Lepisosteus oculatus: one gene and its partner. The protein of the gene in region 1 interacts with the protein of each later gene in a biochemical or structural test. Links are inferred from orthologs where the notes say so. Each region holds a gene or a part of one and is shown in the gene's direction. Other genes may lie near its edges.

Evidence for each region.
Region 2: of the proteins of histone chaperone ASF1 (region 1) and tlk1a, one has a biochemical effect on the other in vitro, tested with the Homo sapiens proteins (3 studies listed by BioGRID). The link is inferred for Lepisosteus oculatus from reciprocal best matches to the Homo sapiens genes ASF1A and TLK1.

The regions. Positions count from the first base shown.
Region 1 is NC_090704.1:23,417,797-23,434,406, forward strand, and holds the start of histone chaperone ASF1, read left to right. Parts: upstream 1-7,872; 5' UTR 7,873-7,958; coding exon of another isoform or gene 7,959-8,006; 5' UTR 8,007-8,158; coding exon 8,159-8,267; intron 8,268-13,356; coding exon 13,357-13,472; intron 13,473-16,303; coding exon 16,304-16,480; intron 16,481-16,610. UniProt on the Homo sapiens protein: Histone chaperone that facilitates histone deposition and histone exchange and removal during nucleosome assembly and disassembly.
Region 2 is NC_090707.1:16,285,196-16,302,098, reverse strand, and holds the start of tlk1a (serine/threonine-protein kinase tousled-like 1), read left to right. Parts: upstream 1-8,513; 5' UTR 8,514-8,552; intron 8,553-8,953; exon of another isoform or gene 8,954-9,067; intron 9,068-9,213; 5' UTR 9,214-9,220; coding exon 9,221-9,353; intron 9,354-9,504; exon of another isoform or gene 9,505-9,519; coding exon of another isoform or gene 9,520-9,622; intron 9,623-9,810; exon of another isoform or gene 9,811-9,828; coding exon of another isoform or gene 9,829-9,835; intron 9,836-9,887; exon of another isoform or gene 9,888-9,902; coding exon of another isoform or gene 9,903-9,921; intron 9,922-16,730; exon of another isoform or gene 16,731-16,821; intron 16,822-16,903. Other genes in the region: mettl8 (tRNA N(3)-methylcytidine methyltransferase METTL8, mitochondrial), read left to right, coding at 168-307, 1,910-2,016, 2,885-2,950, 3,262-3,413. UniProt on the Homo sapiens protein: Rapidly and transiently inhibited by phosphorylation following the generation of DNA double-stranded breaks during S-phase. This is cell cycle checkpoint and ATM-pathway dependent and appears to regulate processes involved in chromatin assembly.

The DNA.
Region 1 (16,610 bases):
GTTTAAAATGGTAGAATAAAGCAGTAAATGCCCTAAAAGTTCAAGTCTGCACATTAAACACCTTCTAAAAGGTGCTGCAGCTCTGTAAAAAAATCCTTGCATTTAAGTGCTCCTGTGGTTAAGGCAAACAACTAATTAACTTGAGGTTCCTAGTTTTTCAACTTGTTTTGCATTACCTTGAGTAAAATAACTTCCGCATACACTTTTCTTCAGATTAGAAGTAGAACTCAAATCCTTTCAGAATTCCTCACTACAAACATTATCAGCTAATTTACAACTATTAATGCCATCAACATAGTAAGGATGAACCGTAAAATATGTATAGCCATCTTTTTACAGATATACTGTATGTACAAATTATTTGTTTCCCTTAAACTTTTGTTGTACTGTATGTAAGAATCTGTCATACACTCAAACAGATCTGCATGTGGGTCTTTTTAGAGGAACTTTGTGGTGTATCTTAGTTGAATTGTACAAGATCCTTGTGTACACTGGCTTAGGTGACACTTTTAAGGGGATATTTATGAATGGCAAAGTTTAAAACATACCCTCATTAAGGATTCTGAGATTAAATGTAGAACTGCAGCTCATGGCCTATTCCTTAAATTAAATATGAACTCACAGTGTTACTGCTTCAAACAAATGAGTCTTCATTTAAAATACAACCAGACAACATTTCCTTCTTCTAGTCACACTGCTTTGTTCACTGGCAATGAAAACCTGCAAGCTCAGATGTTTAAAAAGAGCCGCTCTGACAGATGTTTTTATTGGCTTAATCAGATACTCGTAAGTTCAACAGTGAATGTCAAAATTTTGTTTTTTGTTTTATATTGTGAGGTGTTGAAAATAAATTAGGATTAGTACTCCTTTTTGTGCACAAATTTCACTTGAATGAATTATGTCCTGCACAATTCCACACTCTTAAAACTCTCACATCACTAAAAAAGAATTCATGTGATGTTTTGCACTGTTTTTGAAAGAAAGAAATGTTGCATTGTCTCTGAAAGTGTGTGAGTCAGCATTTTCTAATGCTTTACAACAATTTACATTGTCTTGTTTTGTTTTTTAAGCTAATTATAATGCCTTCCACTGAACATTAAAGGAAAAGAAAAAATATATTGTTCAAAATAGGTGGTACACACATACAATAGGAGGTATGTATCAGTATAAATTGTTATTATAACAATGAGATAGAACTGCTCAGTCTCTAACATTTTAGTAAGAAGTACCAGGTATATGGTATTGCAAAGCACGAGGCAGTGCTGAGAATTTTCATCATATAAAAAAAAGCTACATCTGTGAAACAAGCCAAATCTTAACCTATATTGAACAATAATTTCAATTTAGTTCTCCACTTTGTTCATTTTTAAATGTGTATGGATTTTAAAGTCTTTAATCTCATAAAACTCTCATTTCATCTCATAAAACACAGCTCTCTGCTTCAATGTCAAAAGGAAAGCCAAGGCTTTATTTTGGCTGTAATTTAGGAGAATATTTATTACTGCCCAAATGTTAGTAGTATGTCTGTGGACTATTTTCTTCGGTACTTCTCTGAATTTGACTTGAAGACCTGTATATTTCAGGCAGGCACTTTTATGTAGATTTGCATTCTTACTAAACATTTCCTCAAGGAGGAGGTTTTGAATTTGAAACAGGAGTGATAAGTTAGCTTGTGATTATTGCACAAAATACCTACAATGGGTAATACTTTAATCTAAGAGTCAGATTATAAGTCATGTTATTTATGAGTTATTTGTTAAGTTATTTATGAGTGACATACAAGAACTTAACAGATGACGGACAACTCCTTTTGAAAGACTTGCTCAATAATTCTTACCTTTTATCACTAATAAATTATACATACCCTTCATGTTTCACTAATATGGCATGTTTTGCTAGCACAAGCTGTGTTTAACTAATAAAGAATAATACATGGTTTACAGATAACCCCTAAAATAAAGTGTTATTTGGGAAGTTGAATTAATGGGCATTTAAAATATGAAACAAAATGTTTTTAGAATTGTACTGATTACATTTTATGATGTGCACCTATATACATTATTAAGGAAAGAATAGGATGGATCTGGTCCTTATACTAGTTTGTACAAAGAATTGTTAAATGTAAAACATATGCTATTATTTGAATAACTTGCTTGGTTATTTTTAAATTGGACATGCTATAGCAAAGCAAACAGTGTAGTGCTTCATAATTTATTCTCATCTACTGTGCCACATATAGTATATTAGTTTAATAAGAGAAAAATATGGTGAGCTGATGCTCTGAAATTCTTTAGGCCTGTACAGCAGGGGATTCATTCTTTTTTGTTATCTGTATAATTCTGCAATGACAGTCACAACCTCATTTGTCCTCACAATATCACATACGACAATACTATAACAGTATTAGCCTTGGAAGGTACGGAAGAATTGTCTCGGGGCTAAATTTCTCTACCATTACATTATGAATGTCAGCATGATGAAATCTTGTCTGTCTGCTTTGGTTTTATATCTTATTTCACATGGGATCTGGGATGCCATTTAAGAATTTTAAAAGTTATCTGTAATCCTTTGCATGCAGGAACAACTTCATTGCTCTTATAAAGCCAATTTAAACTATAATTTTACTGAGATTATTCCACCATCACCAAGAACAAAATACTGCAAACTGTTCAGTTATGATACCCAGCGTCCCGTTTTGAGATCTTAATTTACCTCAATACTGTATATACAGTAAGTCAATATGTTAATAGAAGTATCTTGTTTAAAGTGATTATCAAATGCTGGTCCCCCGGTCAGTGTCATCCGGCTAGGCCTTTTCAAGAAATGATTCGGAAAAGCCAGCAACGTGAACTGACACTAAATAACATCAAGCAGTATTTATGTACTTTCATCACTTTCGCAGGAGTCGTTCGTTGGTCGTTCTTTACATTACCAGCTGAGCGCACTGATTTATTTTGTGATTTAGTTGTGAAGTAATATTTCACGTAAACTGGCACTGTCGCCTAACTAATGGCAAGTCATTGGGAAATAAGGCCTCTGTAATGCATGACAACATAGACCGGAGCTATCGGTACTGCAGTGTCCTTAGAAAACGCTCGACACTAGAATTAGCCTTTTAGTACATGATGCAGTGGCCTTTAGTATTTGGTATTACTTAAGTAATTATTAAAGTTAAATCAAACCCAGGTTATATAAATGTAAACACAAAGTGTGCAAATCAAATTAAGCAAACCAAACTCAGATGGCAATATTGCTGGTAGTAAAAAACAAGTGATGCCAGACCCCATCCCGGAAGAATACAGTTCACTGTATTTGCTTTACAAGTGATGCTGAGCAAATGAGCACAACCCGCAACCCTCGCTAGCAAATCCTAGCTTTTCTCTGGCATTTATAAATTCTGTTAAACATTACCTGCGCTGGTACTGCGTGAACCTGCATAAGCACACGACCAAAGAGCGTTGTGTATTGTCTGAATATTACGGCTTTCTTGACGTAATGACGTGTTACAGAACTAAGGACATTTTCATCAGTATTAATTCAAACTAAACACAATTACAAATTATCCGCTACGTTCAGCCTTTTTTTTGCTCCTGAGAATACCAAGGAACAATAACAAAGGGCGTGCACATACAATGCCAGTGTACAGTATAGCCAGTCGTTTTTAATATAAGTGGATACACGGTAGAAAATAAAGGGCTATTGTACAAATCACAAGACATATAGCACTGTACCTGTTATCCTACGCCTTTTCTTTGCCGAAACAAATCTTCTTTTACTGCATTTCAATATCTGATTCCAAGCGCTTTTAATACCGTTTTTTTTTTAATTTTATGTGAGATAACGAATTTATTTTTGAATGCAAGTGATGATATGGAATTCCTCCAATGAACAGCCCTGTTCGCTCTTTATAGTCGCTCCATGTATATCGAGGGTTAAAGCACCCTGGTTTGAACCATTCGTTTTGTAGGGAAGTTTAATTCTATGCCTCATATCGTTCGTGGAAATTAAATAAACCAGGTTTCCATTAATGCCTTAAAATAGCTTTATATTACTTAGCAATAGAAAAATGCATGCTCACTATAGTATTTAATAGCAGTTAGGCATATTTATTTTCTGTACAAAAGAGCTTCACCCCTTTCCTACCTATCGTTGCTGTTTCCAATGCAAACAGAGACTTAGCAACACACTAGTTTACCAGCCTGCCCTGGCTGGTTAGCTGGAGTTGTAGGCACTTTGACCACACTACATGGTGGTGATGACACGCTCCATGTTATTAAGCTTTTTTCAATAATATTGTCCTTAATTTAGATGTTCTGGAGAATACACTTTTCAGGGTCCTTTTCGTGCATATTTTGTTACATGGTTCTCTTCTGCTGTCGAGTGAATTATCCAAAGTTATAAATAGGTGCTGCAGAAGCTATTTTCTCATTGGCAAGAGTAACTTTTCTTATTATGTTACTGTAATTATACGATCAAACCGACCCTAAACAGAACTACACTATTATAAATCAGCTTGACATTTTTTTCTTCTAAATGTCCTATGTTTAAAATCATTTTAAAAAATAATAGAAGACTTTAAAAAGACATGTTAATCAACACCGGCACATAAAATCTCGGGGCAAATGAAACATAAACTTATTTTCCTAGATTCATTTCACGTCTTTTATGACCCATGTGTAAGGGAATGCAAAGTAAATCAATAGTCTGCTTCTTTTCAATACAGTATTAATAGAAAGAGCTCACGTTTAAGTATCATGACTGAACAATAGCTAAAATTAGTATTTTGATTAGGTGTAACTGATAATCTTGAGGCATTCATATCTTTCATTCCGTATCCAGCCTAATTAGCTGTTGCTGTTATTATTATTAATAACAATAATATTAATTTGGCTGACAATTATTCTCCAACGCAAATTACATATTATACAATGATCTGTTTTGTTTAAATACACATCTTAGTACTGTACATGTGTATGGGTTTGCTAAAGCCACTGGGGAAAAAGACTCAGGATCTCTAATCACTAATCCACACTATTAAATTATAGTTACTGAGGAAAAATAGTTCTCTTGAAGCATGTTTGAGTCCCCTTTAAATAAATGATTATATTTTGCCTAGTGTCCTCTTTAAAAACGAATATTCCAATAAAAATTCATGCAGGTTGTCTGCACACACAAAAGAACTGCTACAGTTTCATATTTTACAATAGTAAAATGAACATGGAATATTTAAAAATTTCAAAATATTTAACTTGGTAAGAGACATCTAAGCTTTTGCAAAGAACTGTTTAGGTGCCCAAAGTGCATTAGAACTATTACAACAAACAATAATAATTGCACCTCTATTACCCCCTGATATCACTGTACCACTGCAATCACAAATATTCATAAACATGTATGAAACTTTGTTTAAATATGTATCATTGATTCCTGTTCTATTTGATACCATCCATCCATTTTCTAACTACTGTGTCCAATTCATGTTTTCAGGGGAGCTGGAGACTAGACCAGCAAGCAACAGGCACAGGGCAGGGTACACCCTGGACAGGACACCGAGCCCTCACATGGCACACACAGACACAAACACAGACCTGGACTTACTTGCACCAGGGCATGTTTTCCCAGAATCTACAGTAATTAACTACTAGTATGTCCTTGGATTGTGGATGGAAGCTCACATGATTTTGGGGAGAACATACAGACTCTATGCAGATAACTCCCCATGTTCGGTATAAACCCTGGGCCCCAGTGCTACAAGGCAGCAATGCTAACCATTGCATGACCATGCCAGCCTTATTAAATACATATTTAATTAATATAGATACATATTTTGTTAATATCGTCTGTTATTTATAGTAATATTATCTAATTCTCTGACTTTAGAAGTCAGAGAAGAGCTTAGAAGTGCCTAAGAGCTTAAAAACATTGACAGTTGTTTATTTCGATTCCACCTTTATCTGCAGAAAAAAGACAAATTTATGCAAAGGTTCTTTGAACAGGTTCATTTATTGTGAGGCCAACTGCAAATATCAGGGCATTGAATGAATTTTCAAAGCACATAAGGCACTCATTGATTTCAAGAACCTTGACTAAAAGAGGATGACATTACACTTGATAAAAGTATGCTCCTCCTGGATTTTTCAAAAGAAATGTGGTGCAATATATTTCAAAGCCTCAATCTACCTGCCAGTTACAAAGAACACCCCGGTACTTGTTTGGCAAAGTATTTTTTTCCTTCATTTGATCAAATGGACTCCCACAATGAAGTGCTGTGTTTGTAATTCACAGTTGGTTGGAGAATAACATTTCTGACTATTGAAGACCTAAGATACAACAGTATTTTTTTTAAAATAACAAGTTGTGAAAGTCTACTTCAATTTTGGAAATGGGTAATAGTGATATGATAGGTTTATTTTACTGACATTTTTATTTAATATAATATGAATTTAATCTGATGCAATACTCTGTATTTTTCATTCAAACAAGTACATTTTGTCAATCCATTTATATATATATTAATTGCAAATGACATTAAATATTAAGAAATCTGTGATTTGGGATAAAAAGGAGAGGTTCATCATTGTATGGAAATCATCATAATCATTTATATTCCAAACTAAAGAAGGGCAAAAGTATGATAATTAATACATTTAACACACATTATTGTACTGTTCCAATAATATTCAGATTTACCTTATTGTTGACTTTGCACTCAAAGAATCTGCCTTAATCTTTCTATATGCAACCTGCTCTTCCAAACTTTTTTATTTCACGTGGCCATCTGAAAGCAGGACCTCTTCATAACTATTTTGTATCACTCGATTGAATTCTAGTCCAACAATTCCTTGGTCCAACAATGATCCATTGGTCCAATTAATCACCATTTTAGTGTCTTTACTTTGACAGTGATGACACATTGTGCTCTAACTCATTCTTTTTAATATAGGGTTTTGTCATTCCAAGCACACATTTGTCCATGGTTTTGGGGGGTGCCTAGTAGCTTCTCTATCACTGTTGTATTTAGAGTTCAGGGTTCAAGTCCACATTTTAATACTTTCATAATAACTAATACTTTCATTTTAAGGCAAAAAACATTTTTTCCACAATAATTATGATATATGACACTATTGTCACTGCCATAGGATCTAGCTATATATTGATGAGGGGTATCATCATTACCTGCTATGAAAGTAAATGTAGGTACTCATTGTATCATGGACTTTGGATATATATTCACCCATTTTTGCCATTTTCTCTCATAGTTGTTCAACAGATATTGGCTTAGAGCAGACCAACTAATTATTAGAATCTTGTCTGTAAATGGGTGAGCCCTGTGGTGTGTGCTATGGGTCAACAATTTATAGCCATTTTATAATCGACCAATAATGGGAACAATAGTCATTTTAGAGCATTTTCTGCACCAGAAACATTGCAAACGATACGATTCAGAGATGCGGGAATGGTATTTTGGATTTACCTGCTCTGCCGGTGCATGCAAAAAGAGTTTTGGTCTAACAAGTGCCTAATTACCTAATTAAGATGTTCACATCCTACACAGTTATGGTATCACTGTTACTGTAAAGGGATTTTAAAGTCTGTATTAGCAGTTCTTCCATTAGCCTGTTCCTTGAGGGAAGGGAAGAAAAATCATTAGATAGTATACAGCAACAACTGCGAAGTTTACGGGCTAAAAAAACAGCCTTTTTTAAAACTATTATTGTGAGAGAAGTAGTTCTTAAAGTGAAAGATAGGTTTGGTTGTGTTCAAGCTGAGCAAAGGAAAAACAATGTTTCGGGAAAATGTGCATGCATCACTTATTTAACCAGCAGGTGGCGCCCACAATAAAAGTTACAAATAATTTACTGTACTGTGTGTGCAAAAAGATCCAAATCCTCCGCCTTCCCAAGGATCATCTGCTGGGCTGAAGGCTGCTCTCGCAGCTCTGAGCTGTGCAGCCGGTCATGTACAATTTAATGTCACCCGTAGGCACAGAAAAACGGAGATATTCGGTATTTGACGGCGTTACTTCTATTTAAAAAACTGGATTACTAGTTGGCTGCGCTGTGCGATACTTAGTATTTGACGTGGGTGGCGTGTTTACTAGAAAGCGCCGTGTTTTGTAGCGCTGACTCCGCACTTAATAGTTTTCGTGTAGCAAAATATGGCAAAGGTTCAGGTGAACAATGTAGTAGTGTTGGATAACCCATCTCCCTTTTTCAATCCTTTTCAGTTTGAGATTACTTTCGAGTGCATTGAAGATTTGCCCGAAGGTAAGTAAGTGTACTTCTGTTTCAAAACTGTAAATTGCTAAGAAGGTAGAGAGAAAACAATTGATTGGAGGTTGCGAGGCCTGGATTTGCTAATAAATATGTAACAGTTTTGTAATTAACAATTGTGCATAACGGAGTACTAGTAAGTGGTGTTTATTTTTATTTTCAAATGACTCTAACGCGGATATCTAGAAATTCTGTAATGGAATGTATTCTATCACCGAGGGGTCGCGTTATCATTGACTCAGGTAATCGATTTATTTAGGCTCTGTATTACGGATAAGGTAGCCATGTTGTCAGGAATATTCTAGTTGTTGGACAGTATGGTATGAGTGCATTTAAAAATATGTATTTTTCTTTTGTATAATAAAAGCAAAGTGACAGTAGACCCACTGACAATCGTAGTTAGCTAGATGTATGGAGAGCATGACCACGTCTAATTATAGAAGTTTTTGTTTTTACAAATAAAGCGTGTAACTAAAAACATTAAAATAAAATTATTTGAATATAAACTTGCGAAAAATGAATCTGTTAAAACTATCTTGGTTAATGTATGAAGTGCTCAATCATGTTTCGCCACAGGAAGGAAGTAGGCTGTAACTATAACTAGCATCAATCCTTGGCTAGGCTCCTACCAGGATTGATGCTAGTTATAGCCAATAATCCGTATTCTGTCTAAATTGGCTGTGTATATTTATAGTTACTATAATCTTTATGCGTCCGATGGAAAGCTTAGTTTTATCACGCTTTTGGTGTAAGTGGAATTTTTCAATTTGTCAGATAGGATTCCTTAATCGCCATGCCAATTAACACAGTTTTAAACTTTTTTGTATGTAAGAGTACAAAAACAATAATACAGTAAAAGTTAGTCGCCCCACGTTTTTGAAGTAATATTATTCTCTATCATCGTTTTTCGCTGTAATTGGCGTGGGTGAAGTCAGTGCGGCGGGTTACAGTATGTGTCAAATCGCGAGCGGGGCAGCATTTTTTTTCTGTGGGGAAAAATATTTCCTTTGAACATTTTTTCCACCTCGTTATATTTATTCACCGTTGGCGTGGGCAGTCGCATTGAGAGTGTTTTAAATGTCACTTTGCTTATACTTTAGGCTAATACGGAATTTGTAGCACCCATTATGGATAGTCTAATAATATTTCTTAGTACTGATTAATGGTAAACAGCGACACATTCACAGTCCCTTCATTTAAATGAAAGCTAGAAGTGTTTGAACCAGACATTGTTATGTAACCTCCAAAATGTACCCTTTCTCAGCAAAAGTTACAATACGTTACAATAATGTGTATCTACCAGAGGGTCGTCTTAAAATTCCATGTTATGCGAGATGATTGGTTAATGACACAAACCACTATGATTTTCTGAGACGATAGAAATCTTGTGAGTACTGTATTTGCGTGTGTGTTTGAGAAAACCAGCCTTATACTTTAAGGTCATAGGCTTAGTCTTATGCTTTCCAATCAGGGGACTGATGAATACCTTAAGAGGTTATCAATAGCTTGTTGGCAATCCCACAATCCAGAAGTATTAAAACTATTTTCACATCTCTTAGGTTTATTTGCATGCTTACTTGCAGTAAATTTTATAGGTGCTTTCCAGTGCCTTAGGTGCTGAAAGCAGCCAACTGCTTTTCATAATTTGGAAATTAGAACTAAGGTGGTGTCAAAGAGAGAAAGAAATACATTTATCTGTTTACCTTTAATGCAACCAGTTGGCCAGTGTACCTAGGTCTCACTTTATCTTGTATCTTGTTTCAAAATACAATTAGTTTTTAACAAGATATTGCATAATTACAGACCTCAGAAATAGATGTTGAAAATAATGGATGGTTCAAAGTGATAATCATTGCTAGAAATGACTTGCTGTCCTCTAGTGTGGTGAGTAGTCCTTTGTTCTGTTGTCTGTCGACAGTAGATTATGGGCATTAAACTGTATTGTAAAGCTTTTTTGTCTACATAGCAACACTTTGAAACATAAAAAAGCTCTTTGCTTTAAAAGTAGATAAAGATGGAGAGAACAATATCAGTTTTTCCCATTGGTGATTTCCTGGGAGGGTGTTGTCACACAATGCCATTCACAGACGTGACAGTGCATGTTCACAAGTCATCTGTCAGGCATGATAATGGGGCCCCAAACCACGAAGGAGGTTGATCATGAATTTGTCTTACAGTATTGTTGACATGAGCTTTATCGAGACCTTATGGGATAAGCTGCACTGCCATTTTCATAACTTTTTTTTCCCTCCAAAACAAGCTTCAGTTTACCAGATTTCCAGAGTGAGAAACTGGGACATTTGAATTCTGAAAATAAGTGCCACGCACAACTCTGAGACGGTTCAAATTCCTCTTTGTAATAAGCAGCTCTTTTACGTGTTTATCCTTTTTATATGGCTACTTGGTTGAAAACCATAAGCAACTTACATCTTGGAAGATGAACCATTTTGATTTTGGTTCCCACTTCATCACATTTTTAAGATTCATTACTACAGTTTAAAATATCTATGTCTGCAAACATTCAGCTCCCGCAGATTAACTGAATAACTAAAAAAGCATTAATGGGCTGTCGTTGCTGCTTGCTGTTATAGCTTATTCTAATCACATAGCAAAGAAAAGAGTTAAAACTGTATGCACAGCTGCTTCTGTGTTAGTTTGAGGGCTTTTTTTTAGCATGCACAACTTTTTGTCCTAGGTTTGTATAGCCAAAAAAAAGAAGCCAGTTTTAACCCTTTCATGATTAGTAATGACGATAAAGATTAAACGTGTTCACAGTGTAACTGTGACATGTGATAATGTGAAGCAATTAAAATATTACAAAGCGTGACGTAATATGTGGAAGGTAAAATTATCTATGCAGTGTTTCAAGTCAGTTCAGTGCAGACATTTTACAAGGTGGCCATAGGATTTGCTGAGAACTCTGGGAAAAGAGTCCATGTCAACTTCAACCTTTCAAAGTTCAACTTTGTTTTATCAAGATATTTTTTCAGTTTACATCTTTTGGTGATGTAAAGAACTTTTTAACATCTTGTTTGTAGAGAACTGACCCTTCTCTTACTACTCTTTTGCCTACTCTGAAAGCCTGCTAGAATAAGTTTAACTGTAGCCTTTGGTAAACTGTTTGATATTTAGCAGGAAGAGCAGAAGGAGAGTGGTGGGAGGTAGGAACACATTGTAATATCACATTGTGACCTCCTTGATGCAAAGGGACTCTTCGAATCACAGCCACAGGACACTGTGAGAGCAGCTGCTAGGAGCTGCGCACAGCTTATGGATCAAAAAGACCAATGCAAATTATGAACTCTTATTCAGTTATGAAATTCCGATAGAATTATAGAATAGAATTCCTTGCTATTTGGTATCCAGTCTTTTATTAGAAGTGCTGAAGCTATACTTTCATTAGGTAGCTATTGTAATATAGAAAACAGAGGTTCACCTCTAAAAAAAAAAGTCAGATTTCCCCTGAAATTGAACTAAATTTTGCTCCCTACAGTGGGTTAATTTAGGCTCATTGTAGCGTGTGTAACATGTATGTGACACAGTGGCCATGTGATGGAAAAGGCAGAAGAACAAGATTGCTGTCTTGGAAATAAATTATATCGGTGGTGAATCTTTTCTGTATTTCTGGACTGCAAAAAAGCCTGCAAGTGTATGTAGAAGGAGAGAAAAGGCTGTGTCTTCCCACCCTCCCCCTTAATTACAGAGGATACAGTTATGGAATTGGAAAAATAAACAGCAAAGTGCCACAGTAGTACCCAACAGTAAAAGAAATTTACAGACCAAGCGCAGGCGTCCTTCAATTGCAGGAGCTTTCCTTTCGCCTGATTGTACAGGTGGTTTGTGCAGGCCACATTTTCCCAGTTCATTTCACTTCATTCATCTATATTTGAAAGTGTTTTATGGGTCAGCCATTTGCTTGTTTCATTTGTTATGTTTTTAAATCATGGGTCAAGTTCTTATGTGTCCCCTGAAAAGTTCTGTGTCTTGTATCATCACGGATTCCGCTGTTGTATTGATTAGAGATTTAAGAGTAGCTGTACTGTGTTGCAGGAGTCAGATGGCACGGTGTTGTGTGTTTGTCTAATGATACCACAAATTCTCTGTCAGGCGTTGCCATGGAAGTCTGCTGCTTAACAGCTTGTTCATTTCCAGTTCCCTGTAGGTGTTTCTTGATGTACCGAAAGAAGGATGTACAGGAAGCACTGTTGGAATGCAGACCTTCAGTTAAGCTTTAATCTAATAAAACCTTGCAGTACAGTCAAGAGTTTTCAGGTTCACCATGTGCCTGTAAGTGCAGAGTGGTCTCTGTGAGGGCCTTGTGTCTCTTAACATGATTTAGTTTTCCTGCTTGGTCACTCAGATATCGATAGAAGAGCCCCTGAGTGCTCACATATTTTGGCTGCCAAAACAGATGATCAGTACACCACAACCTATATATAGGTCACATTCAACATATTAGGAATACTGTAAATATGCAAAGCATTGCATAGCTTAATAATAATTTTATCAAAGTTCTTGCTTTATCAATTTTAACAATTGATAAAAAGTGGCCTGGTTTCTTTTCTTGTCAGTATGAATCCATACAAATTGGTGTCAATGAAATGAAATAGGTGTAATACAAAGTGCAGCAAAGTTACAGTGCTCACACTAAGTCTGATGTATTCATCCACTTTGATGTAGAGCAGGAATGGTGGGGGGTTGAAGGATATTTGAAATGTTTTAAAATCTGTAAATAACATGTACATTTCTTAAAACATGCAAGCCTGTATTATCTTCCTTAATACTCTTCCTTTCTTTTGTGATGGTTATTTTCAAATGTTGCATTTGAGGTCTGCACGACCTTTGCAGTCCACTTTCCTGCCACGTCAGTCAAAATCTGAACTTTCAAATAATGAACGTCCAACTTTGAAATCACTCTGAAGACCTAAGATCTTTTATTACTTTATTTTGAGTCTTTCAGATCAGTACCTTACATGGAACACAATTCTTATACTGTTTGCTAAAGAACTACCCCGATATTCCCTCTTTATCAGACTGAATGGTTATTATAAATCCTCATGCCTTTTGTTTTATGTTTCTACAGATCTGGAGTGGAAAATAATTTACGTAGGATCTGCAGAGAGTGAAGAGTACGACCAGGTCTTGGATTCTGTGCTGGTAGGCCCTGTGCCTGCTGGGAGACACATGTTTGTTTTTCAGGTAATTTTCTACTGTAAATTCAGTTTATTGACAATGTCATATTGACTGCTATTGGTGTCATTATTCACACACATCTAATAGTGTGCACTTCTAAAGTGTATTGATGATGAGTGTACATCAACATCAGGATGACTTCCGTCTCTGGCTGACCATTATATACCTTTTGTGTGACTTATATTGGTTTTATGCAGCATTTTTTAATAATGGTTACCAGAAGGATTTTTATGGGCATAGAAGATCCTATCGCCTCCTCACATGCACTGAGATATTTTTAATTTGTGTTAAAATATTGTATTCAAATATGCACATCTTCCACCTTTTATGATGACACAGAGCAGCTTTATTGTGGCAGATGTTTGCACTACAGAGATGCGATTTTAAGCCTGTTTATTGGCTGTTCCTTGCTTCTACCAGCAACATACTAATTCTTTGAGCTCCTATTGGTTAGCATTGATATCTATGTGCTGCATGCTGTCAGAGCAAGCCTGTATTTTTGAGCTGCGCAGAACATTTGTCAAGTGAATGAAAGTACCAGTCTTAAGAATGTTAAAATTATCAAAAATTCAAGAGTGGCAGTTAATTTTCTATAATTCATTACATTGATTGGAACCTGCTGCCAAGAACACCAGAACAGGGAATAAAGAAAAGTAATTTTTGATTCTGGAATCACTGTTTTTAACAACAAAGCTAAGTGATATGTAGTGTTATTACTGTTATTATTACTTGTACTATTAAACAATGAAATAGGATAAGTAACCTTGAATAATAAACAGAGATGTCAATTTAAAGCTATGCAAAACCAAAAACAGAAGTGAATAGAGTGTTAAATGTTTAATAAAATTGGTATTTGGCTTAAAAAGGCAGCATGATAGAAAAATATATTATTTGAACATATGTGATATTCTGTCTGACTTTTTTATCTTTGTTGTATGTTACTTTACAGTACTGATCATCTGTTCACCTCTAATGTTGCAGTATTTTTAAATTAATGATTTTTAAAAATATTTTACTTTTGCAAAATAATTGTATTTTCATGCTGCCTCACAGTTACTAAGCGTTTATAAATCTTGATAACATTTTTGCTGTATTGAGCATGATAAAGTGTTGTGTGTTTTCTAACACTTCATTACTGTTCATTTCCAGAGTGCATTTTTAATTTTTTAAGTACTCTTAATTACAGAAACACAAACACACTTTATAATATTATAATAATTGTTTTCTGTTTTATTTGGAAAAAGTCCAGAACACAGGCTAACTCCATTTTATTCTAAGTTTTCAGAGCTTATTTCAAGAACTCCTTGGGCTACTGAATTGTGTGGCACAGCATTTTAGTGATTTATTGATGGAGTGAAAGTCTGGGAATAAAAATAATGATCCACTAATGTTCCAGGCGTAACCTGGATTTTGTCAAGCAGGTGTGTGCTACTGGCACACAGGTGTTGGGTGGTGTTCAGTTGAACTTTTCTTCTGGGAGTCCTGGGACATCAGTGAGAACAACGTTGCTTCTGTCTGGCACCATGGATCTTGCCGTGCGATACAGAGGGTGTAGCTATGAAGCCAAGTCATGAACAGCTGGCGGGTCCAAATTCAGTGGGTATAAGATAGAAGATAATTCACAATTTCAAGTTTTCCTTTTTTAAGAAATAAAGAATCCCAGTTTTTTATTTATTCTAACTGCAGCTATGCAGATTTATTCAGAAAACGCTAACAAGTGAACACCCTGGGTCTGGTTTTTGCTTATATACAAGATCCTGTGGTTTTTTTACAACCTGTGGTGGATTAAACTGCTGTTTATCCAGAACCTTCTTTTGCGGTTTGGTATTGGGTTTGAAGCAGTGTCCACATTTGTTAGTTTGTCAGTACCTGAAATATTAATATAGCAAAATGTTCTCAGAATTACAACTCGGATTGAAAATGTACTTTTAACTGTGAGAGACAAATATACAAATATGAATTTGTAATATTTGCATTTAAAAAACATAGTAGTATTAGACATTTGTCATTTATGGGCCTACAACATACAGTATGAGAAATAGCTGCTCAAGAAATGTCTGACTGTGTCCTAGCTTCATTATAGTTTGGACAATTTTTATAAAATAGTCTGTTTAAAAGTTTCTGAAAGAATTCTTAGTTGGTTAAAGGTCAGATTTGACCATATGGTAATAAAAGCTGTGTTAAAAGAGCAGACCCCTTCTCTAAGAAGACCAGAATTGCCAACAAGTGAAACTGACCAACAATGCCAGGTAAAATGAGCTTTGCTGGGAATCCTAAAATAGAAACCGCATGCTCCACTTACAGCACAGTTTAAACTTCATGAGGATTGTGTTACTCTTCTTACCTCATTATTCACGAAGCTGTGCACTGCTGGGATAGATGGAAAGATATCATTCACACTGCAGTTCTGTGAGCTTCACATTGCACTGCTCAGATTCACTAGCTTGGCCTTTATTGCTTCTTAGTGTGTACTTTATGCAATATGCACTGCAATTACTAGAACCTTTTCTTTTTAAAAACTTAAAGCATCTCTAACATTCATTGACTGTTTTTGCAGGTGTGTATGTGCTTACTACCATCTGAAAACTGGTCAACAGAGCTGAGCACTGCAATTCTGATCCTTGTGTTAACCTTTAGGTGCTTTTTTTTCTAATTAATCACTTAATGCACTGTGGAAGATGATCACATGAATTTAATTTAAGGTGAAAAAAGAAGTTGTCAAACTCTCCTGTTAGAATCCTTTATATCTTGCATGAGACATCTTAGTCACAAATCTGTGCACATGTCATCAGTTATCTGCTCTAGATTAAAAATGTTTTTCTTTTGTTTTATTTCAGGCTGACGCAGCAAATCCAGGACTGATTCCTGATGCAGATGCCGTGGGTGTAACTGTAGTGTTAATAACTTGTACATACCGAGCTCAGGAGTTCATTCGAGTGGGGTACTATGTGAATAATGAATACACAGACCCAGAGCTGAGAGAAAACCCGCCTGTGAAGCCTGATTTCACAAAGGTAAACGCGCCTAAACATTTGCAGCAGTGCAGAGAGGAGCTGCACACACTTTAGCAAACCAGTGGCTTGACAGATAAGTCGTTATTACCTGGACTGGAAAGAAAATATTCCATCAAAAATGTCTGAAGGT
Region 2 (16,903 bases), on another chromosome or scaffold:
CTGCATTTACGTTTATGGTGAAATAGAACACAGTCTCATGTTAATTGTCCTTTGCGGATTACTCACCTGAGATCATTTTTCTAGTTTGGGCACGGTAAAATAAGGTATGATAAAAGAACATTGTGCAGTTTTCTGATATGTTGCTGGTCGCCGTTTTCTCTGTGCAGGCTCACCCAAGATACTGCCCTGCTCAGTGTCACGTCTTTGTCCATGATGTCTGCGATGAAACCGCCACCTTCCCATTTCCACCCAAGAGCTTAGACATCATTCTTGTCGTCTTTGTGCTGTCGTCCATTCACCCTGAGCGGTAGGTCAAAGTCAGAGGGCAAGGGAAAAAAGCATTCAGTCTCATTCATCACCAGGCATCTCCCAGCATTCTCATCAGTTATATATCCATTCCATTATTCTGATTTAAAACACTGCCTGCTTGTTTTCAAGTCATGTGCAAAATGTGCATTGAAAGACATGCACTCTATCGTCACATGCTATTTTTTAAATGCAACATTATAAGAACCGTTGAACAAAATTGAGAGAAAATTCTGCTGCTCAGTGGGGCAATGCTTGGGGTGTGCTTTGAGACAAAATTGGCTGAAGTTTGGAAATGCCTGTATGGTCGTGTTGTTGTTGTGCATGACATTTCTGTATGTTTAATTCCAGATGATGATAATTTTCGTTAGACCCAAACAGGGCAAAGAGTTCAATGTGGACAATGGGCAGGAATATAGCAGTAGTATACAATCACAGGGAGGCTCAAAGTGTATGATGCATGTTGTGTTTTTACAAAATACTGGATTACCAAAAGTTTAACGTGCGGATTATGAATCATAAAATAAAGTACGCCTATTTACTTATGAATTGATAGATATTGCTGGTGGGTGTTACTGTTTTCAAAGAACTGGTAGTCAAATGAAGTCAGAGAACAAAGCCTCTTGCTGAAAGAGCTTAGTCTGCTGCTCTTTGTAACAAGCAGTGACATTTCACTACATCAGGAGCCTGTAGTAGATATCAGCTGATTAGAATTCAGGGTGCGGATTGGCTGCCAGCCAAATCTCACAGCAGGCAGTAATAGATTTTTCGCTATTCTATTTTGATGTGTTTTTTTTCTTTGTACAGATCTTAAAATGGACTGGCCAGAAATGAGCAATTTCAATTTACTGTATCAGTTTTTGCACTAAATGTGTAAACAAAGCAATTGTTTTGTATACATTGGTTGCATAAGAAAGTTTATCTTACTGTATATATTATATGGCATTGTCAAATGCATTGTACATATCTACTTAGCAATGTCTTATTGATTCTAAATGAAGGAAGCATCGCATAATTTGTGCACCCAGAATAGTCTGACTGCTCTTTTTATGATTAGTCTTCTTATGTACTGTTCACTTTCAATACGATGAAATGTGCTTGGAATGATCCACCTATTATGGGTATGTGTTGTAATCAGTTATCTGAGGAAAGCTACCCACATTGATGTTGTACGCACTTAATAGACAAACCTTGACCACTAGATTGGAACCTTAAGGCTTCTTGCAGTGTTTTAGGTGCAGCTCATAATACCTAGAAATGTGTCTGCTCATGTTGAGTTCAAAATGATGTCATTGTGTGCAGACAAAGGAAAGAAGACTTCCTAGTCGTCTTTGAGAAATTGTGCCGCTGTCTTGCGCAAACGTGCCTATACTTTTAAGGTGAATCTTTCTATTGTGTGCTGAGGTTTCCTGCATTTGCACAATTTGCTAGCAGCACCGGACTGTGGGAGCCTGTTGAATGCATGGTTGAAAAAAATGGTTTGTTTGTTTACGTACTTGTGCTTTAACTAGGATATTCTTCACTTCATTTTTTAAGTTGTTTTTTTTTTCTCGATCATTGCTGCTGTAATACAAAATTAGTTGTGTGTTTTTTCTCCTTACAGAATGCAAGGAGTTGTAAAGAGATTGACCCAGTTCCTGAAGCCCGGGGGGGTGTTCTTATTCCGAGATTATGGCAGATACGATATGTCACAACTTCGATTTAAGCAAGGTGCTCCTGTGGTTCCTCGTTGCGTTCCTCAGTTAATTTGTCAGTGTGTTTAAATTAGAAGATTACTGCTTTTCAGTTAAGCACCATGCTTTTACGTGCATCACCTTTGCCATTGTGACCTGAACAAAACTTTGAAAATCCATTGGCTTTTGTTTTGTTTTTTTTCTGGTGTGAAAAAAAAACAAAGACTGGGATCGCCCACCCACATCAGTTAACAACAGACCAACACAGCCTATTGATACTGCCATCCTGAGTTCTCATTTCTGCCTTATCAGTTGGTAAAATATTTTTCCTTATCGCATGCACATACAACATCACAAGAAGAGGAACAGTCAAGTGTTACTTTCTTTGTATTTTAATGGTTGATCCCTTGCTTGTATTGTGAGTATAATCATCACCAGAAGTACCACTAAATAACATTCAAGTCTTTTAATGTCCCATTGGGCACTGTGTATTCTAGCTTTCTCTTATCCAATTGTTTTACAATAATTCTACACAATAAGAAAAACACTAGTCAAACACTTTCCTCACACTTTCAGGATTGGCTGCTCCAAAGCAGTTTTTTAACATCATTGTCTTAATGGCATGCATTATACTTCCATGACAAATATTAGAAATTTATTTCTAGTCTATAATTTTTGCACAAAATGCACACCCTCAGAAGAAAAAATGCTGGAAAATGAATGTCATATATTTGGGGGGTTTATTACATGTTGTGGTTACTGGAAAATATCTTATTGTTATTATTCTGTGTAGTTAACCCATTGGGTTTTTCATCTAAATCTCAGTGTTATTTTTGCGTCTATGTTGTGATGTGGTATTTTTACAGCTCAGTCGAACTAACACGGCTATCTTGATCATTTCCCAGGCCGTTGCCTGTCTGAAAACTTCTATGCCAGAGGAGATGGTACCTGTGTCTACTTTTTTACAAGAGGTGACATGCATATGGACCTTAACAACAGTTGATGCTTTTGCACTGTTTGGAAAATGTTTGCGGCTTCTTTTTTTAAAAAAAAAAACAAGAACAAAAAGTTGTCAAAACTTCAAATATGCTTAAGTGGTATAGAAAACCAGCTCAGTAGGACCGCAGCTGCACGATGACAGACTAGACATGACTAGAAAGGATCACAGAGTGTTCTGTTCCTGTGTGTCAGATGTTTTGCAAACAGACGGTTTGACTTGTGGCAAGAGCTTTTGAATGGGTGAAGGCTAATGTGCTGCTTTTGTGCTCGTCTCCTGCAACAGATGAAGTCCACCATTTGTTTGTGAGTGCTGGTTTACAAGAAATCCAGAACCTGGAAGACAGGAGGCTCCAGGTGAACAGGAAGAAAGGAGTGGTAATGCGCCGCGTTTGGGTGCAAAGCAAGTATCAGAAGCCATGGGATACTGACGTTTGACAAAGCAACTCACCGGCTATGAGCCCTGCATTGGACAGCAAGATGCTGACATCAGCACGGATTGAGTTCTGCAGGTCTCTTACAGCATCATTCAGATTTCTGTGGATGTGATAAGCACTTATCGAAACAAGCAGAATCAGATGTGGCAGAAACTGTTGACAGGGCATCCAAGCATGATAAAGTGTGCATGTCCAAAGAACAGGAGTTGCCAATGGCCTGTTTCCACTGCACCCTCATGTTTCCTATTTCTCTTGCGTCACTCATTTTAAAAGAGCTTTTAATCAAGACTAATAGTTTGAGAGAAGAATGTGCAAAACTGATATTATTCATAAGGAAATGATTTTATTATATTTGCGTCTGGAAACCTGGAATATGTTACTGGCTGTGAGACAAGACATAAATAAAAAGCGAATCAGATCGAAATAATATGCCAGCTTTCTGAAGAATGCAAAAGGTTTCCCTTGATACGCAATTCATGATCATAAAAGCCTTAAATGAACCTGCAAATATAAGAATGGATGCCATTCTGTCTGCTATACTAAAATGTTGTCCATCTCTTTCTTGGAGGACCCGACAGTCTGGTCCTCAACCTTATGTTCCAGACAACCATCACTCTTTATGTAAAGAAGTGTTGCCTATTTTCCATCCTAAATAAATTCCCTTTGTTGCCATGTTTCCTTGGTTTTTTACTGAAGATGTCAAACTGGGTTGACCCTTTCTGTAGACCTTAGAATGTATATGTTTCAGCTTATTCTTTTAATGTACAGTACATTTCTGTAGCTTGGCATTGTTCCCATCTTTTTATAGAGATTCTAACATGCACTAACATACTACATACTGTACATCTAGACTGTACAGACAGTCTTATTAATCTTCTCAGTTTTTTGTAATCAGTGATGGAATTTTTTACTTATTCAAATGTTTATCTTTCACATTAGTAAGTAATCATTGTTATTTTAAGTACTTTACATTTTCCAAAAGATCATTAATGAGTGTTTAAATTTGAACTTCATAGCCATTTAAAGACAATTAAAGTGAAAACAGATGAGGTCATGATACAGTGAGATGTTAATTCACCAGTTGAAGTGAGAGGGACATTTACTGAGGTAAGACTGTCCAAACCTGAAGTGGAATTTAGCCAATATACTGGGGTACACCTATTCTAATATGACTAGTCTTATGAACAGATGAAGTAGTCAGGACCTCTCCTGAAACTCTCAACAAAAGGACAGCACACTGCCTACAGATCTATGTCCCTTGTCACCATGCTGTAGATTGGAAATTGTAGTCCAGAGAGAAGATTGCCACTTATTCCAGCAAGGCCACTCACTGTACCAACCTGGATTTCTTTGGAAGTCTCCAGTATCATTACTGACATGGACCAAGCTTGCTTAGGTTGTGAGATTTGACAAGACTGAGCTACAAAGAAAGCCAGTGACTTGAAAGGCTCATATGTTATACTGAGAAGGTTCTTAAAAATGCATGATTCACAAAATGATGATGAATGCTTGAGTGGTACAGTTCTTTACAATCAAATAGCAGTTTTATTCAATTAAAGTTTTTTTTAATATTTTGTTTGGGTATCACAAGGATCTGTATTCAGACCACTGTTCTTTTGAACTTACAGTATATCAGTTGTCCTACATTTTGGACATTTGTGAACTAGTCAATTTTGCAAATGGTACAAGTCATAGGATGACTACCAAATCACTCTATATGTTTTAAGGAAATAATACATCATTTGATGATGGAACAAGTAATAGGTTTATTCCATGCTGAAAAAAAGAAGAAAGAGAACACAACGTTTTGGCCGTGGAGCCTTCTTCAGATGTGAGCCTGACACCTTATTCAGCATGGAATAAACTTGTTCCTTTGCAGCCTACGCATGCTGACGCAGCTACCCACCCGAACTATCATTTGATGATGATAATAATACAATCTAATTGAAGAGTTTTTTTTTCGTATCCACCAAAAAAGTATGAATGTGAGATTGGAAACAGGCAGCTATGGAAAAAGCAAAGTATTGACACATCATTTTCCTTCAATAAGGTGGATAAGCAATAAAAGGCCAAACAGATCATTAGATGTGTAAAATGTCAATACTGACCTCATTTAGAATGTTGTGTACAGCTGTGGTTACCATAATGGTGCAAAAAAAAAATATTGCTGCTTTGCAATTATTTCAGAGAATGGGGACCACATGTATTTCAGACTTAAAGGTTCACCCTTCATGCAATCTTTTTCATCTTGAACATAAAAGACTATTTTAGGGACCAATACCAGGACATGAACCAAGGAATTACTATTCCAATTACTACTGAGGGGACACTTTCTTACACAGAATGGACTGGAATAAGATACCCAGGCATGATTTGAAGCTGATTTCTTTTAAGACGTCACTGGACAGTCTAGATGTGCCTTATAGCCTCTTATTTTTAAACTTTCTTGTGTTGGGCACTATCAGTGATCTCTTAAGTCCTGCATATGCCTTTTTGCAGTGCACAAATCTAAAAGCAGTTTACAAGGACAGGTTCCAATAAGAAGAATAGAAAGTTCACAATGCAACAAATTGCAAAAGCACTTATCTGTTCAAGGTATTAGTCTGTTTCAGGTCATAATACTGAGACAAATTAGGAAGGTTCACAATAAGAGCAAATGACAACTACCAGAGCTACACAATGTGAAGAACAGATATCAGAATTTTTAGTAGGAGTCAAATCAGACAGGTTCAGATTTTTTATCCTGAATTAAGATTATTTTCCCTAGTTGGATGTAAATTTGAGTAACTAATTTTTCATATTGCATGTTGACTTGAGCACCAGATGTAAATTTGAGTCCCGAACAAAACAAATAGTATATCTGAGGTAAATTTCCATGCCCAGTGTTTCATTTGGGCTGTGCACCGGTGTTAGAATTTTATCTAAGGAAAAATTATGCATACTCAATCCTGAACCAGTCATTCACAGCAAGTGGAAAATTCCAGGATGTAGCACATTAATATGCCTTCGTTTTAGTAGTAAAAAAAGAAAACAAATAAAATGCCCTGAATGAAAACGAAAGCTGCATTCCAACAAATATTTTAAAAATGCCTCTATAATTATTTTGATTGCTTCCTAATTGAATTTTTAAATGCCTACTATTGACCCACATGACTTGCTTTTCTGGGGTGGTATAATGCACTGAATCAGTTCTGAAGCATGCTATTGTGAGACAAAGGCTTGTGCCAAAGGATTTGCTGGTCTGGGCTGTGTGTTGAAAAGGGAAGCTTAGCTTGGTGTGTGAAAAAGAAGGCCGGGATGTTTCTACTGAGAGGAGGCATCACAGTCATTTCAATGAACTCTGAACAGCCATCTGTGCATAGCAAGTGCATAGAACAACAAGTGAGCCATCACTGGCTGAGAACATTCTCTATGCCTTTACCATCTAAAAGATCAGATTGGGAGATGCAACAGGAAATTATTAACCCCTGTGTTTTAATGCTGTTTGACCCCAGTTGGGTTCTTATTTTAGGGACTCTGTTATGTCTTTGTTGTTAGGAGTAGATATTTTATTTTTCTAAAAGACCACTGGGAAAAACAACAACAATCTTTTGTCTCCATTACACTGCTACCACACGGTCTACTGATTTGAAAACAAATATTTTGTTGATCTACTTAAAAAAATTCTAAATTCCATACATATATTTGAAAAATAAATGTATTGCATATATATAATAAAATAGAATTCTTAAACTCTTCTGATTTATAGGTGTATGCTATATTTAAATTATTTAAAATCTGTAACAAACTACCCTTTTCTAAGCCTGTTATTGATTTTTTTTTCCCAGCATTAAGTGAATGTAATTACATAAAAAGTGGAAAATGTGTGAAAACGAACGGTTACTCTAAGGAACTACCTTAACAATTTAATAATTTTCCTTCTCTGAAATGCATGGCTCTTGGATGGACAAAAAACATATACAGTAAAACCGAATGTTCCAGCTCCTGAGGAAACTATGGACATTTAAAAGTGTGCTGAATGTGAATAATGCACAAAAATAACGTGAACCTGGTTGTTTCTAATTTTGCATCTGAAAATTATCTTCGGTATAAACCAACAGCTAATACAATACAATGTTACTTGCTTTATTTTATTACATAAAAATCCAGATGTTTGTTTCCCAGTTTCTAATTGAGAACTCTCCATAAGAGACTCACACTCATAAACTGCTGCAACAACAATCTTACCATTACATGTAATCCAAAATCAATTCTTCATGATCAATCAATGGAGACAAATACAAAAAGTGCAATATGACCTTCAACCTAAAATACCCAGTTAATGGTTGACCTAATCGGCAAACGGAACTGCAAAATAATTCCTGGTTGCTGTCTACACTTTTTTTGCTTTGTCGTATTTAAACGCCAATACATTGTCATGCTTTATATTTTTCCACTCTACAGCAAATATTATGCTATTAATATGCTTCTTATACTTCCATTTTATTAATATACACCTTTAAATTAATTTTTCATTGACCTTTTAAAATTTATTTTTTAACAATACCGATGCCGACCCCCCAACAACAACAAAACAACATTGAACTAAAATGATTGACCCTTCTTAGGACCTCAAAGGTGCAAATAATCTTTTTCTTCACTGCACGATGTTCACGAAGTACAGTAGGTGCTTTAATGTTGTGTGAAACGTTTTTACAGTTGAGAGGAGAGTATATAGGCAACCCAAAATAGTACATTCATTTAACCAAATTTCTTTTCACTTATCAAAGGTCACAATATTTAAAAGTGATAAATACCACTTCAAACAATATTTTCACTTATCCCAGTTTATAAAGAATTGTTATATCAATACATTGATATAGTTACTTAATACGATTAATGTATTAAGTAAATATACATCAATTTATTTTTGCAATATTTTAGGATTTTTATTAGATTTACTTTATGCTTAATTATCAGCTAATTTTCATATTAAACTATTCTATTACATAAACGCCACAAACACATCCTAATTATCGTAATTAGTGATCGCGGTTTGATTGACAGCTTGAACAACTAGCAAGTCCGCCGCAAAGGGTTAAACCTACGTCACTTAAAACCACCATAATGAATTGTGGGAAGGCGAAAACTATGTTCGTGTGTATGTACATTAAAGTTTTTATTTCGCGATATGAGATTTTTTTTCAAACAAAGTTCTTACGTTATTCTACGTTACCGATAAGGAATTGGAAATGGCATCGTAGTGCATCAGGAAATTGAAATAGCGCCAGGGAACTGTCTTTATTTTTATTAATATGATAATAGTGTCTGCATATTTTAATCCTCATGCGGTGATGAAATAAAATGTCCCCTATAAAATTTGGGAGGAATGCACAGGTAGCACGGAGCACAGTTACCCTGCAGTTTACACATTTTTTTTTTATGAATGAGAAATGAAAATATTAATGCATTCAAAGCCTCTGATGAAGAGCGTGCGACTTGGGAAGTATTTCATACAATTTGGGATGGCCTCTTTGTTTTGCCGTTTCCATCAGTAGAATTTTTTGCCTGAGGTGTACGAGCCTCGCGATAGTGTTTGCACAAGCGATGCGTGACGCCTAATGCAAAGGTTACACACACAGGCTACTTCAAGACGCACTGCAGAGGTATAGGGAGGTTTGTGTTTAAAAAATGTTAAATTTTACAATTTGGGCCGGATCATACGAGATGATTGATTGATGCCAGAGGCTTGCAGGTTACAGAAATCACGAGGTTTCACTGCCATTGACGCCTGTGTTTGTTTGCTTTCTCGTTCCAAAAAGTAGCTTGATGAGTGTCCAAAGTAACAGTGGAAGTGGTGGAAGTTTGGAGGGGACGCCATCTTGGTCCCGGCTCTCCACGTCCCCAACACCGGGCTTGCTTTCTCAGCAACATATCACGGCACCTGTGAAAACCAAGGAAGGTAATCTAAAACTATATTAATCTTAGAAGTATCTTCTTTAGAAATGGCTAAGTGTTTTTGTTATGCGGGCGACGAGCCGTCTGGAAATATGAGTCCCAAGCGGGTTACGCTGAGGCCGTGGGTTAGGTACTGTACAGTGCAGCCAGTCAATAGGTGTCTGCTTGATATGGAGTATCAAGAAAAAATCTCAAGAGGCCATACGGAGAAAAAAAGAACAGCTACATTTATTTACACTTTGGGTGCATTAGCTGACGACTCTCAGCTAGACGGTATTGAAATCGCTCACAGTTTTGTGTTTTTTTTTAGCGGCTTCCGTTTTGAAAAGCAATGGGAAAATAAAAAAAAAGTGCCTCCTCTTTTTTTTTTATTTGCTAAGATGTCTGATAATAAAAAGGGTCGGGTCTTTTGACATCATGGAGGACCCATGGATTTTGTTTCGAGAAGAAGAGTTTGGCGAGATTGATCAGTGTGCAGAATGCCAGGTATCCGAGTTTAATAACGTAACTAAGGGTAGCAACTTCCTTCGCCTTTTTTGGTATCAAGTCTGGGATGACACATTTTTATTGCAGTAAGTAAACTGTGTCATATACACAATACATAGTATGATGGTGGTGTGCGGGTGCACGGAGACACGTCTTTTTTGGGGGCTGCGCACAGAACTGCATTGCTCGGTGAATTTATTTTTAATTTAAATGCACAAATGTTCCATGATGGTGTTATGCAGTCTGTGCAATCGGGTGCCTTGAGCGTAGTTATTTGTCTGGATGCAGGTAATTACAGTACGTAACCACAGTTGATGGAGTCTCTGGTTGAACAAACACTACTTTTAAAATAATGCCTAGCGTTGGCTAAAATGGTGGGGAAACGTTCTAGATAACCAAGTTATTGGGGTGGAGTTTATATGTGTCTAGGCTTACTATTCCGAGCAGTTTTGAGTGTCCGGTTCTAATTAGTTTACCTAGTGTGAGTTTCAAATTAGTGCTTAATTGTGTTTCTGTGTTTTCTATATAAGCAAGTCATCCCCAGAGAGGGACGTGCAGACTGCTTGGCAATGCTCTATGTATTATGGGCAATTGAAGATGCCCTTGAGGTTTTAAGGTGATATGGTAACGAGGTTTACCTCCGTCCTTAATCAACCCGTCGTGCTTGAAGCAAAAAGATCTCGCATACAAGTTCTTATGTAATTTGCAATTAGTCTCCCTGACCCAAAATATGTTCTGTTGAGGAGCTTAAGGTCGATAAGGTACCTGCATGTTATGAAAAATTCCATATTAATAAACCAGTTCTTATGTTAAATTAGTTTTTTTTTCAGCTTTACAGTATAGGCTCCTATGTAAAGTTTGCTATTTTTTTTCTGTAGGTGGTGTAATTAACTTGATATCTGTCTCCTGCCTTGGTTGTGCTTGAAAAGGGGAGCCAGGAATGTGAAGTAGTTATGAGTTAGGAGCTAAGTTATAGATCAATATGTGTTCTTTCCTCAGTTTAAAAGCTGTTTTTTGTGTGTGTGTGTGTGCCCTTATGAAGAAAAGTTTTAAACTGACAGGATCTGATCTCATCGCACATATCAGTGGGGTCTTGCATTATATTGTGCTGGCCAGTCCAAAAGTGTCAAGTTGCTGCAAAGCATGATGATTCTTTTTAATTTGGTCATTTTAGAGAGTTAGGCTCAGGTGGACCTACTACAGCCACGAACTGCATGGAGCTAAAATGTCCTGTGTTCTTAGGGTTCAACCAGTAGCTTTTGCAGGGGCTTAATGTTTAGTGGCTCTGACAGTATTCAGGTCTTGTTTATGCAGAATTGTAAAGAGTTCTTCACTGCATTTGAGTTAGTTCTCTGTAAGCCACTTTTCGTCTGTTTCCTCTTGTAGAGAGCTTGGAGAAATTTCCAAAATGCATTATGTGCATCATATTGACCTCTAGGGTTAGAAAGGTGCCCAATTAAAATGACATCAGTTTTTTTTTTATCCGTGTTCTGTTATTTTAAGGGTACCAGCATTAAAATTTAAAAACTTTAACTTTAATACAGTATGCTGTATAAATTAAGCCTACAGGGTGATCTCATCAGTACATGCCATAAGATACTCGCAAGCTTTTTTCACAGACCATCTTTTTCTTCTGAAATTTCATGTGTAAGACTATCAAAGTGTCAGCAGGCGTAAGACTTTATGGTGTTGCTCCATAGTGATACTTCAAAACTGCTGCGTTTAAACCCATAATCCTTGACCTGTCTGGCATCCCTCTTCGAGTCCCAAGATGTGGGCACTTAGTAGCATTCAGTTTTGATAGGCCTCATATGTGCGCCTGAGTTAATCTCAGTTGACTGGCATAGCCCCTGCCAGGTTGGGATGCCCATTTCCGTTGGCATAATCCTCTGTCCGAGACAACTAACCAGTTTAAATTTTGCCCGAATCCGGTTTCCATTCTGAAGGAAAGGAGGGTGTGACAAAGCACAGTTTTTGAAACTTTTCGCAGAACCCAGGGAAAGAAAAAACGTTTGTCGCTGTGACCCCAGAACAACATCTGAGAACTTTAGTTTTCATAAAGTAACGATAGGGCAGTTTGTGCCGTGTCAAGTCGACTCGCATACAAAATGAAAACAAAACATCATTGCGAACGTAAGGTGTTTTCAAGAGCTTTATAAAAATAATCGGGTTGAATTTCACCTAAAAAAGGTTAGGCAGGCCTGTGTGATGGGCCTTACTCCTATCAGGATCATAAGATAAAAGGGTTTCCCACCTTTCAAGTGTGCTGTTGAGTGGGGTTTTTCGTTTTTGTTTTTAACCTTATCAAAGTTGAAAATCGCTTTTCGCACATTAAGGTTGTTGTGAATGGCAGCAACAACTGAACACTTACAGTATCATACTCAACAGTTGATATTCTTTGAAGACGTTGACTCAAAAATATGACAAATTTAATGGCTTGTGGCACATTTTCAGTGTGCTTTCACAGGTTAGTTGCAGTAGCTTCTTCTCTTAGTTAGGCGTAATGTATAGATTAGGGATTGATGAAAGAGGAAGGATCTTTTGCACTTTTTCTTCAAATTGTCAATCCTCATCTTCTGGAAGTAGCTACCAAATTCTTGAGACAGGTAGTAAATAATTACCATTTCTCTGTGTAATCTCACAGTATTGGTTATCTGTAATAACCTGGGCAAATACTTTTCGATGATGTGTGCCACAGTGCCAGAGACTTCAGGAATGCTTGTATCTGTTCACTGTGTTGAAGCAAATTGTCGCCTCTTTCCTGTAAGTTCATTTTCAGTTTGTTTAAAATTGAGAAAATGTCAGCTAAATATGACAACTTTATTAACCAGCTGTCATTTTTCAGATTTGCCAAATTTGATTATTTTCTAGAACAGCGCAAATCTTTTCCTGAACTGAGACACACTGGTAAATACCAGGGCTGTCACAGGACAGGGGGTTTAAATGTGAATTATTAAATAGTTATTCTTGTACCTGTTTCTGAAGAAATCACTTCAAAAATTCTGCTGTTCGGTGAGCTAACTTTAATGAAATTCACAATTCTAACTACTTCCTTCAGTATGGCTGTAAGATCTTGGAATACCATTGGATGCAAAAGCTTTGATTTAATCATGACAGTGTTTCCAAACAACACTGTCAGGTACTTTTGATATTTTTGTTGAAACTAGAATGTTTCTATCTGTCGTTTTTTGCTACACCATCACTTGTAATTCCTTTGTATTTATTAGGTAGTGTAATTCATTTTCCACCTACAAATTCATTAAGAGCTTCACTTTAAGACATCAGTATTAGCAGCTTCTAGTCTGATCACAGGAGCTAAGCAAGGCTGGGCCTAGTTAGTGGGATAAGAGGTCGCTTAAGGAAAACGAGGCTGGTGCTGTAAGCGGGGTTGGTGGACCAGTAGGTGGTGCTTTTGTATACCAGAATTTCCAAACCATCACCCTGCGGACGTGGTTCACTGTGATCTGGGATGTGCCATTTTTCATATGAGATGCTGAACTCAGGTCCTGACTATGTGGTCTTTAAATAAATATCCCATGACACTGTTTGTAAGAATAGGAGTGTTAAGCTCAGTGTCCTGGCTAAATTCCACTCCCTGAAGTTACCCCTTAATTAAATTGGTGAAGGAGTTTCCCCTTTCTCCATCTGTTCTGCAGTGTAATGGGACCACCAGCGCATAATGACTGCATCACACCCCCCTTGGGTGTTGCTCTTCAGGTCTGTATGAAGCGGGTTCCCTTGTAGGTAAAACATGTGATAAATGCAAGGAATTGCTGTTAATCTGTGTTTTTGTCGTATGTTAGATACGAACTAAAAATTCTTCATAAGACTTTGACGTATGTCTCCTAAATTGTTGCATAACTTGACGCATTGGTACTCTCGAAAAGCGTTTGCAAAATCCCTAACCGACAGTGGCCAAATAATAGATTTTGAAATCCTCTTCACTATTGTGTTTCAATGAGAAGGATACTTTGGAGATGTCCATCTTCCTGATGAAAAGTGTACATGCTGAATTTTGAGATGCCGGAAAAACAGGTTTTTCGGCATCTGTTGGCCATTTTTTTTTGCCACACGGTTTGCAGTCAGATATGCCTTATCATTCAAAGTAGTTGACCAGCTAAGAACTTGAGCTGATAACATTAGGTCAGGGTGCTGCCATCAAAAGTATTCAAGAGGCTTATCCACAATGTTGCTGGTTTTGTTTCTGAATAACTTTTCAGTTTTGTGGGGCTGCAACTCTTGTTTTCACACAGCCTGATGCAAGGAACACACTGGGGCTTTGGGTCTTCTTTTGTATTGGAACAGTTAACGAATCTGTATTGCATGAAAACATCGCAACGGTGCTTCGTCCATTTCTTTTTTGTAGAGGTCGACATGGCAGAAGTCTTTGTCTTTACTGCCGGAATTCTCCGGTGCAGGTGGCGGGAGTTGAGATTTCATTTCCAGGGTCTCATTTTATTTACCTGTAAGGTTTATTAAGCATCACAACTGTGCCTCCTACAATGAAAGCGTACGGAAAGCATTGTCTTTACTGATTGTGTAGAAAAAGCTATGTAACATACATTGTCCATGCATAGTTCATAAGAAAATACTAAAAGTCAGTGCAAACAAGTGAGCCTTAATCAGAAATAAGTACAGTAAGTAAGCATGAAGCAAATTATTTAGAATGTGTAGCAAGAGACATTTAAAGAGACAATTTACATATATAACCAGTTAGCCAAGAGTGTTCCATTGGAACAACTAATAGGTTTATTCCGTGCTGAAAAAAAGAAGAAAGAAAACACAATGTTTTGGCCGTGGAGCCTTCTTCAGGTGTCTTGCCCAGTAATGAGTCGTAACCCTTCCTTGAAAACCATTGCGAAAGAGTAGATCTCATGTTTCCATCATTGTGGTGTGTGCTATGTGCCTCATTCTGTTGTCTTATTTTTTTTATGTTTGTCGGCCACACCGCAGCCGGTTGTAGTTGTCGGACTTGAACTGGACAGTCGCCCTCTAATAAGTGAATACCCAGTGGCTTTGAAATCTGTCTGGTTTCTGCCCGTGTTCAGTGGGCAAACTGCACGCTTCCTTTACGAGCCCATCACTCATCCTGACCGGATTCGCGGCAAGGCTGTCTGCAGACTGATACCCAGTTTCTGCTAGCTACTTTGAGGTGCACCTCAGCCAGACCATCTGTCTGTAGGGCATTTCCAATTGCACGCTGAGGTGTCAGTGTGGTCCGAACAGGTCTGTCTAGGGTATAGTTTGCTATGTGGTACTCTTTGAATCGCGTCCGACTGTGTTTTTGGATTGCCTTTTCAGCAATGGGCAGAGAAAGTGCAGTGAGAGCCATAAGCAGAGGTGGGTGTGCTTGCAGTGAGAACGAAAATAAAAAAAAAAATACTGCCCAACGCATGGGGCGTTGAGTGGTATACCAAGTTTTAACCAAGGTCTTTGAAATCTGAATGCACCTTAAAGGATTTAAAAATAGCGGCCTGCAGAAAATAGAATTAAAGTACAGTTTTTTCTTGCAAAGGTACCTTTCCCTTTGTTCACAGATGTAATGAACTAGGTAAGAGCTAAGCGTCACCACCAAGATGCTTTCACGGAGCATGCATGTCTATGGTAAAAGTTCCCGAAATTGTTTTTGCTCGGAACGATGGCCATTTGCCCAATTATTACAATTAACCTAGGCCAGATTTCCATTGATCTTTGTTTCAAAACAGTTTTGATTGGCTTCCTTGTTTTAGTGTGGTGTATTTGAAGTTACAACGGACTCTCAAAACCTTCTACATTTGTATTCATCGAAAATTGTTTTTTTCTTACAAGTGCTTGTGGGTCTGTTGTGTCTGCCATGAGAAAATGTAGAAAAACTGGAGTTTATTCCTCTGAATTAATAAAACCCCAAATCTACATAGGCTAAAAATACCCAAAGCCATATTAATACTAAAATATAGCTTTCCGTATTCTTTCCATAGCTTAAAATGTATAACTTTCCATCAACGTTTTTGGTCTTAATTTCATTTTAATATCTGTCTACAAAATATTAGTATTTTTTTTGTTATGACTGAGAAACAGGTTAGAGGTGTACTTGAAGTGCAAATATAAATTCAGTCTATTAAACTGGGGGGATTCTCTGAATTCCCTCCCCATTTTGTAATTGTTTTAATAAAATACCTGTTAAATGTTTCTGTCTTTAGGCGATTCAGTGGAATAATTTTAAGTACATCACTGCTGAAATGGCCCTATCTTGTGTGGCAATATTTGTTTAGAGTGTGCTTTACATTACTTTCCCTGTGCAGAATAATTTAAAGCACTGAACCAGATGTGACCATTTTAAACTGAAACTGTCTCAAGCTATATGAAGTCAAGACAGCCCTGATTAGGTATGCATTAGTGGATTTGTGGTGGTTTTTAGGAGATGACTGAAAAAGGAAATGTGCACTATTTACAAAGGGGAAGAATATTGAAATAGAATAATTTGTCAGCGTATACAGGGATGTAATGCATGGATGACTTTCATATTGTTCTCTAGTATATAAAATGAGTACTAAGGTCAAGAGAATGTTTGGCAGTAAACACCCCTGTTTTGACAGTAACAGGATTTTTGAGCTTATTTTCTTAAGTTTCAATTATTAGGCTTGAATAACTTGCTTTATTACTTTGTAAGCTGTAATCCTTTATATATATATGTATAATTTGAGATACTTGCATCAGTTAAGCTTCCAAACAAGCCAGATGGGCCAAATGGCCGCCTCTCGTTTGTAACCTTTTTGTGTGTGTGATGTACTTTTGAAAGTGTGAAAAATTCATAGCTGATCTGAGGAGCCCAGCGTCATTCTGAAAAAAACGGGGAAGTGCTCAAGTCAACAGAAAATGTCGCAGGGATAAAACGCATTAAAAGATGACCTCAAATCACGTTTAAATGATCACGGCTCTTTTCTCTTCACTGAAACTGAATTTATTGATTCAGATAAGCTGACAATGTGACTGCATCCTTCGAAATGGTAATGTATCAGTACAGTTAAATTACCTAGACTGGTCCATAGATTTGCATTTGCTGCTGCATTTTTTTTTCTAGAATATTGT